Linked DNA regions of Caenorhabditis elegans. The protein of the gene in region 2 purifies or fractionates together with the protein of the main gene of each other region. This does not show direct contact. Each region holds a gene or a part of one and is shown on either strand. Other genes may lie near its edges.

What was found.
Region 1: the proteins of pptr-1 (region 2) and F54D11.4 fractionate together in Caenorhabditis elegans (co-fractionation; one large-scale study listed by BioGRID). This does not show direct contact.

What each region holds. Positions count from the first base shown.
Region 1 is NC_003283.11:4,613,988-4,617,911, reverse strand, and holds F54D11.4 (DEK_C domain-containing protein), read right to left. Parts: upstream 1,762-3,924; 5' UTR 1,746-1,761; coding exon 1,528-1,745; intron 1,480-1,527; coding exon 1,169-1,479; intron 319-1,168; coding exon 254-318; 3' UTR 135-253; downstream 1-134. Other genes in the region: Y61A9LA.10 (Bms1-type G domain-containing protein), read left to right, coding at 2,104-2,152, 2,199-3,229.
Region 2 is NC_003283.11:16,355,430-16,359,353, reverse strand, and holds the start of pptr-1 (Serine/threonine-protein phosphatase 2A regulatory subunit pptr-1), read right to left. Parts: upstream 1,834-3,924; 5' UTR 1,703-1,833; coding exon 1,542-1,702; intron 1,492-1,541; coding exon 1,421-1,491; intron 517-1,420; coding exon 218-516; intron 1-217. UniProt on the Caenorhabditis elegans protein: Probable regulatory subunit of serine/threonine-protein phosphatase let-92 which negatively regulates the insulin receptor signaling cascade composed of daf-2, age-1, akt-1, akt-2 and sgk-1 by promoting the dephosphorylation of akt-1 on 'Thr-350'.

The DNA.
Region 1 (3,924 bases), about 12 Mb from region 2:
TAAAAATTAAATTAATTATTTAATTGCCTAGGCCTCGCCGCGAAATCAGAAGTCTTTGTTGAAAAAAATAATTACTTTGAAATTAAGATCAATTTTTTCAAAATTCAAACATTATTAAAATAGACTTCGTGGTGAGACCTTTGAACTATCATTTATTAGCGAACGGGGAGGGGGGAATGGGGGCAATGACATGGTGTGGTATTGGTTTTTCGATATTTTAGAGGAAACAAATATGTGTGTTTTAAAAAAGTAATTAAACCATTACAGGAGGAGCTGCTGCCGAAGAAGAATCACTGATGTTAGGGAGGGTTCCGGAGACTGAAAAGGTACATGATTAGGCACATACACTCACACACGGCCTCCTGGAGTGTTCATAATTATTAGAGCGCGCTCGCGCTGCACACCTCACGAACTCCAGAATTTGCGGGAACTCGTTCCGCGTGGACATCAGTTTTTTGCTATTTTTGGCTTCTATAGAAAATATTTTTGATTTTTTGTTTTATAATATTCTTGAGAAGCATCATCCGAATTGAAAATGTGTAAAATTCTGAAATTTGGCCGAAAACTGAAAGTTTTACAGAAGGAAGCCACTACAGTTTTTAAAAAAATGTATCAGGATTGCCAGTTTTACGATTTATGCGTCGTAAAATATGTCATTTTGTAGAGAATTAAAAAGTTTCATAAGAACTTTCGTTTGAAATTTTAATTCTTTAATTTCTAATAAAAAAATATTCAAAAAATCAACAATTTTAGGTTAAAATCTTATTCCTTCAATTTTAAGTTTTTAATGAAAACAATTTTAAAATTTCAAACGAAAATTCTTATGAAACTTTTAATTCTCTACAAAATGACATATTTTACGACGCATAAATCGCAAAACTGGCGATCCTGATACATTTTTTTAAAAACTGTAGTGGCTTCCTTCTGTAAAACTTCCAGTTTTCGGCCAAATTTCATAATTTTACACATTTTCAATTCGGAAGATGCTTCTCAAGAATATTATAAAACAAAAAATCAAAAATATTTCCTATAGAAGCCAAAAATAGCAACAACTGCTGTCCCCGCGGAACGAATTCCCGCGAATTCTGTAGATCATGAGGTGCCGCGCGAGCGCGCTCGAATAATTATGAACACTCCAGGAGGCCGTGACACAAAAGGTTCTTCTTACGCTCGGTAATGATCTGATTAACAGTGTCGGAAGGCGTCGGGGTCTTCCAGTCTTCTGGAATATCGAAATCAGTGATCCCACGGCCCTCTAGCGCCACTTTGAACTGATTAAGACTCTCGGTGAACTCTGCTTGGGAGGCGATTTTGATCTTTCTGGCGGGAATTGAAGTAGCGTCGTTGGAAACTGCTGGACGAGGAGTGAGAATTGATTTGCGCTTCTTGGTGACTGGCGATGGTGAGAATCTCTTCTTGGCCTTGTTACGCTTCTCACGTTTCTCGGTAGATGGGGATCTTGGTGATCTTTTCGGCGTTCTGAAACTAAAATGTTGGAAAAATATAAGAATTTGAATTATTAGAGACCTCTCCGGCTTTGAATGAACAATTTCTTCCTCTTTTACTGGATTTTTAGCAGCAGAAGCAGTAGAACTTTCGATTTTCGCTGGCGTGGTCGTTTGTTTTTTTCTTCCCAAAGTTTTTGGTGTTTGTGATGTAACTGAAGTGGCGGCTTGTGATCTACGCGTGATGCGGCTAGAAGTGGGCTCGACGCCGAGGTCGAGCTCCATATCCAATAAGTCCATTACAAAAGTCTGAAAATGGGAAAATAGCGTGTTTTTTAGATTTTTTGTGTTTAAAAAGGGCATTTTTATTAATTTTCTCGAATAAATTTCAATTGAAAATATGAAAAATCGATAGAAAACGAGAAAAAAAGGAGAAAAACGAAAAAATTCGCGGAAAAAATGCTGGCGCGTTTCGTGACACTGACGCGCACGCCGTGCGCGTCAGCAACCAATTTATTTTATTTTTTAATACGAAATATAATTTCTTCCGTTTTCCTCAAGATTTTTCCGTAAAGTGTTAGATTTTTTGCTCAATTAAATAAAATTTAAATATTTTTAATCAAATAAATAATTAATTTCACTATTTTAGGTAACAAAAATGCCGCCGCCAGCTCCGTTCGAGGGGCAAAAGAACAAAGGGCACAATGGTAAGTCAATTACAAGCTTTTTACTAACTATTTTTCACGTTTACAGTCCACAAAACTGGAGGAAAAGCAAAAAAGCGAAATGAGAAGGAGCCGAGAGTCAAGGGAAACAATCTGAAAGCTTTCACTTTCCACTCCGCCGTATCCGCTGGAAAAGCGATTCGACGAGCTGCAGATCTCAATGAAAAGAAGAAACATGTTCTGATGATGGACAGAAAACCCATCGAAACACCACCAATCATTGTAGCAATCGTTGGACCGAGTAAAGTCGGAAAAACGACACTTCTCCGGGGTCTTGTCAAGTATTACCTCCGTGATGGATTCGGAGAGATCAATGGTCCAGTGACAATTGTAACTGGAAAGAAACGTCGTGTACAGTTCATTGAGGTCAAAAACGATATTAATCATATGATTGATATCGCGAAAGTCGCAGATTTGGTGCTTCTAATGGTCGATGCATCGTATGGATTTGAAATGGAAACCTTTGAATTTCTAAATATTTGCCAAGTGCACGGAATGCCACGTATTATGGGAGTATTGAATCATTTGGATCTTCTCGATGGAATCTCACGTGTCAATAAGACCAAGAAAATTCTGAAACATCGTTTCTGGACGGAGCTCTACCAGGGCGCGAAGCTTTTCTACATGACTGGAATGATGCATGGACAGTATAAATATAATGAGATCCATAACCTCTGCAGATTCATTTCTGTCATGAAATTCCGTCCGATGGTGTGGAAAGATGCTCATCCATACGTTCTTTGTGATCGTTTCGAAGACATTACCAACGTCGAAACTCTTCGAACGGATCCACTCATCGATCGACACATTGCCATGTATGGATGGGTTCATGGTGCTCATTTGAAGAATCATTCGTCGATTCATGTGCCAGGTGTTGGTGATATGAGGATCAGTAATGTCACGAGTCTACCCGATCCGTGTCCGCTGCCTGATGAGATTAAGAAACGAGCGTTGAATGAGAAAGAGCGGAAAGTGTATGCTCCGTTTTCTGGATTAGGAGGTGTCATTTATGATAAGGATGCGATTTATATTGAGTCAAAGAATGCTCACAATTTTAATGTAAGATATTCGGGATTTCAGCGCAATTTTAGACGGGAAACCATGTTAAATAAATCAGCATTTTTCATTAAAAATTAGTGATAAATATGGAAAAATTTATTTCAAAATAACATTAATCCCTGTTCAAACATCACAGAAAATGCTCAAAAATGGCTTAAAAGTCTTGAAAATTTTAATTTTAGAAAAAAAAGCTGAAAATTCATAATTTTAATGTAAGATATTCCGAATTTTGAATTATTTCAGCTCATTACCGGCAAAATTCAATTTTTAATCAGATTATTATTTATGTTGATGAAAAAAAACAGATATTTCTTCTAGAAAGAGTAAAAATTACCAAAATTTAAGGTTTTTTTTCAAAAATAGTTGAATCTATTGAAAAAACGAAAATTAAAATTTAGATTCTTGTAAATTTGCAGATTTTTCAGATTTTAGATGACTTTAAGAGCTTTTTGCAGAAAAAAAATTTGCTAAATTTTGGAAAATTTTCATCTTAGAAAAAAATTTGAATGATCGCAGACGGCCTTGAACATCCTTGAAATTATTTGAAAAAAAAACTGCAAAAACTCACAATTTAAGCAATTTTACGAGCTTCTATTTAAAAATTACACTGTATAAATTTCAGATGCTGCTGATTTTTTTTTGTGGCGGTTATTTTCAGCAAATTTACAAAACGACATATTGCACCATGTTATATT
Region 2 (3,924 bases):
TTCAGATTTTCGATGTTTTCAGGATGTATCGGGGTTTTTTTTTGCCAAAAGGAAAACTAATAATTTTCCAGTCGAAAAAGTCAATTTTTTGGACCAAAAATTAGTGAAAAATGCACTTTTTGCTCTATTTTTCTGAAAATTGCATTTTTTTTTCGATTTTTTTTTGTCATTTTTCGGCTTCCTGGAGCCATTTTCGGGTTTTTCTTGCATTTCCAACCTGTAAATGTGGCCACGAGACTTCTAAAGTCGGTTCATCCTCTTCTGGATCAAATTCACAATTTTCTGATGGTGGAAGTACACGGAATATATTCTTGGCAACCATTTTAATGACAGCCGGATAAATTGTCTCAACAATTGCTCCTTTTGTCGATGTAATGTGATCGATGAGCTCATTTAGAGCTGCTCTTTTGATTTCTTTGCATTTCAGTTGAGCTACTGGATCATAGAAATCGAATACGTGCTGACATTGGACGAGCTTTTCGATAACGAGAGCCGGTTGCTCATTTGCAGCAGTATCTGGAAAAATTGAAGTTTTTAAAGATTTTTAGCGGTAAAATTGATTTAAAAGGCTCAAAATAAATTCAAATTTCGATAAAAATGGCGAAAATCTCAAATTTTGCAGCAGCAATTGAATTTCTTTTAAAAAATTGATGATTTAGGCCTTTTTTCGGGGTTTTAGCAGGGATTTTCGGCAAATTTTCACTGAAAAACCCGACAATTTCGGCTCAAAAAAAAACCGACAATTTCGGCTCAAATATTCTGAAAAAAGGCTAAATTTGAAATCGGCAATTTTTGCAGATTTTAGAGATTTCAGACGGCGTTTTTCAGAATTTTAGTTCAAAATTTGGCTCAAAAAGACCAAATTTTCTTAGTTTTGGGTTCAAAATTATCCGATTTGTCAAAAAATCTTTTAAAAAAAAGACTAAAAACTCCATTTTTACGAATTTGCAGCGACCGAAAATCGATTTTCATCGAAATATTCCTTTATTTTGAAGATTTTCGCGATTTCTAACGCGTTTTCCCGTCGATGTAGGTAAATTTTCACGAAATAATGTAAAAATACAACATAAAAAAGTTGATTTACTTGAAAATAGTGTAAGTTTTCGTTAAAAACTTTAAAAAGAATCACAAATTTTGTATAAAAGTCGAAATTCACACTTTTGGGACAATTTCCGACAATTGTAGGCTATTTTCCAACTTTTCAACGAAAATTATCCTAATTTTCAGGCCAATCGAGCATTTTTCAACATTTTTTCACTAAAATTAGCATTTTTGGACATTTTCCCTGAATATTTGCCTGGAATCGACTGAAAACTGCCAAAATCTGCGGCAGGGTGGCAAAATGCGAGTTTTTCGCTATTTTTTACTCAATTCTTCGAAATTTTTTCGGTTTTTCATCTAGAAAATCCAAAAAAATCACCTTTGATGAGCGCCAATTGTACGAGTTCTTGAGCCGAATCAACATTATATCGGCTGCTGTTGTTGATGCGCCTGAAAATATCGGGAAAAATCGATAAAAATAAATTAAACCAGCCACTCACAATCGTCTAGAAGTTCCTCTTTTATTATGGAACGGATCGATTTTATCAACAAATTGATTAGCTGTCGCCGAGAGTTGTTGGCCACCGGTGGCGGCTCCCTGTGTCCGTGGCGGCGGAATTTGATGCGGAGCGCCCGTTAGACTGTGCCCGCTTCCGTGCATTTTTTTTTTTGATTAAAAGAATTTATCTTCTTCAACGTCTTCTCGCCCTGGTTGTGTTCGAGCGAAGTGTTGAAACTTCGTGTAGGAGGGAGCAGAGAAGCAGACGGCGAGAGAGAGATTTCTGGGCGCTTCTGCAAAATGTATATATATATATATTGATTTTTTATTGCGAGAGAGTGAGAGAGAGAGGGTTTTTATTAACGCGGAATGGTGTAAAAGAGATAGGCAGTGGTTATCGAAATTATGATAAGAAGAGAGTGAAAGTAAATGGCAATGTAGGTCGACAAGTGATCAGATTCGGGAATAAAATGTATTGAAATGGGTTTTATTTAATTTTATTCAATTTTTAACCGAAAAAAACGCAGGAAAAACGCTCAAATTGTAGACAAAACATCGATTTAACGTAAAAAACAAATTAAAAAACGAGAAAATCTCCGATTTACATTGGAGCGCACTTACTGATCGGTGGTTTGCCGCGTTTTTTCTAGTTTTTAAAGCTTCCTTGTGGTAAAAATTTGCAAAAATGCCTTCATTAAATGAACAAAGCAATGGGCAATGGGGCCAATACACAGAAAAAGTGAAATTTTGAGAACTATCACAAAATTGATTAAAAAAACCATTTAACAAGAAAAACTAGATTCAAATTCCCGCTCCGCAAATTTATCAATGGAGCACGCTTGCGAATTTGTTTTTTATTTGTTTTTTTAGATGGAAAAACTGAATTTCGTCGAAATTTAGTTGAAGTTTCAGAGTTTTCAGCGTAAAAACTGCTTTAAAAATTAAAAAAAAATAAAACAACCGAAAATTCTGTATTTCTTGCTGGTTTGCTCACTTTTAGCGATAACCGCGGGGAAAATTGATAAATTTTGAGAGAGGAGTGACAGTTTTTGCTGGTGTAAAAATGTGCCAAAATAAACGAATTTCGTTTAATTTTACCTATGGCGGTTGAAAATATCGATAAAACTGGGCATTTTTATCTAAAATCCAGCTGGAAAACTAGCTTTGCCAATTTTTCGTGTCGGAAAAAATTTTAATTTCCTACCGCTACGACATATAAATTTTTGGAAAAATCGAAAATTTTGTCTAATTTTTAAAAATTATCAAGTTTTTTCGAAATTTTGAACTTCGAGGTCTGAATTAAAAAAAAGAAGCCTCCATAAAAAATTTCGGGAAATTTAAGAGTAGTCTCATTACAAAATTCGTTTATTTGAGCGCATTTTGAGTCTAAAAAAGCAAAATCCTTTAATTTTTCATGCGCATGACCTACGCAGTTCGCGCATAAATTATATTTTATTCCCTACAAAAAACACGAACAATGTTCCAAATCGCTTAATAAATTCAGTGAAAAAGTTGAAAAAAAGAGACAAAAAACTCTCGCTCTCACACGAGGTATAAACGTCAACGTTTTGTTGTCTTCTCTCACTCTGCCCAGCCACAGAGAGAGTTAGTTGATCGAGAGAAAAAAGACAATCTCTCACCCGATGAGCGCCGTTTGTGAGCGGCGCGAGCAGAGTTCGTGTGCATTCCGGAGTGCACAGTGATGCAGACACTGAGAAGACGTCGAGAGACGCAGACACGTCGTGCGCACTCGCGCACGCATTTGCACACGGAAAGGCCGGAGAGTGTGGGAGACCGAGAGAGAGAGAGAGAGAAGTAAAGGAATAATATACGCACACAGGCCATCACAGGCCACTGGAGACGACGGAGACGTGAAGAAAATGAAGAGGAGGGGCAGTTTATGGGGGTGGAAGTAAATACGGGGAGAAAAAGTGAGAATTTGCACAACTTTCAGATGAATAGAAAAAGCTTAATTAAAACGCAAACTTCTGAAACTTTTACCTAAAGGCGCAGAGGCTTAGTGGGATGGGTCTCGCCGCGAAAGCAAAGTTTATAGTAGCACTGATATCTAAAAAATGGAAGAAATTACACAAAAAATTAGCCGAGAAATAATTGATTGAAAATTAGAGAAATGACTTAAAATTATTTTTAAAAAGGCTTTTTATACGGAACAAAAGTCTTCTCGAAAATACGGTACCGGGTCTCGACACGACAAAAGTTTGTTAAATACGAAAAGGCGTGCACCTTTAAAGAGTACTGTAACTCCAAAGTTTTGTTGTTGTTGCGGAATTTTCATCGATTTTTTATAGTTTTGGACCGAAATTTATTTTTTTTAAAATATTTTTTTCTGGAAAAAAATAAGGAAACATTTTTGCTGATAAATA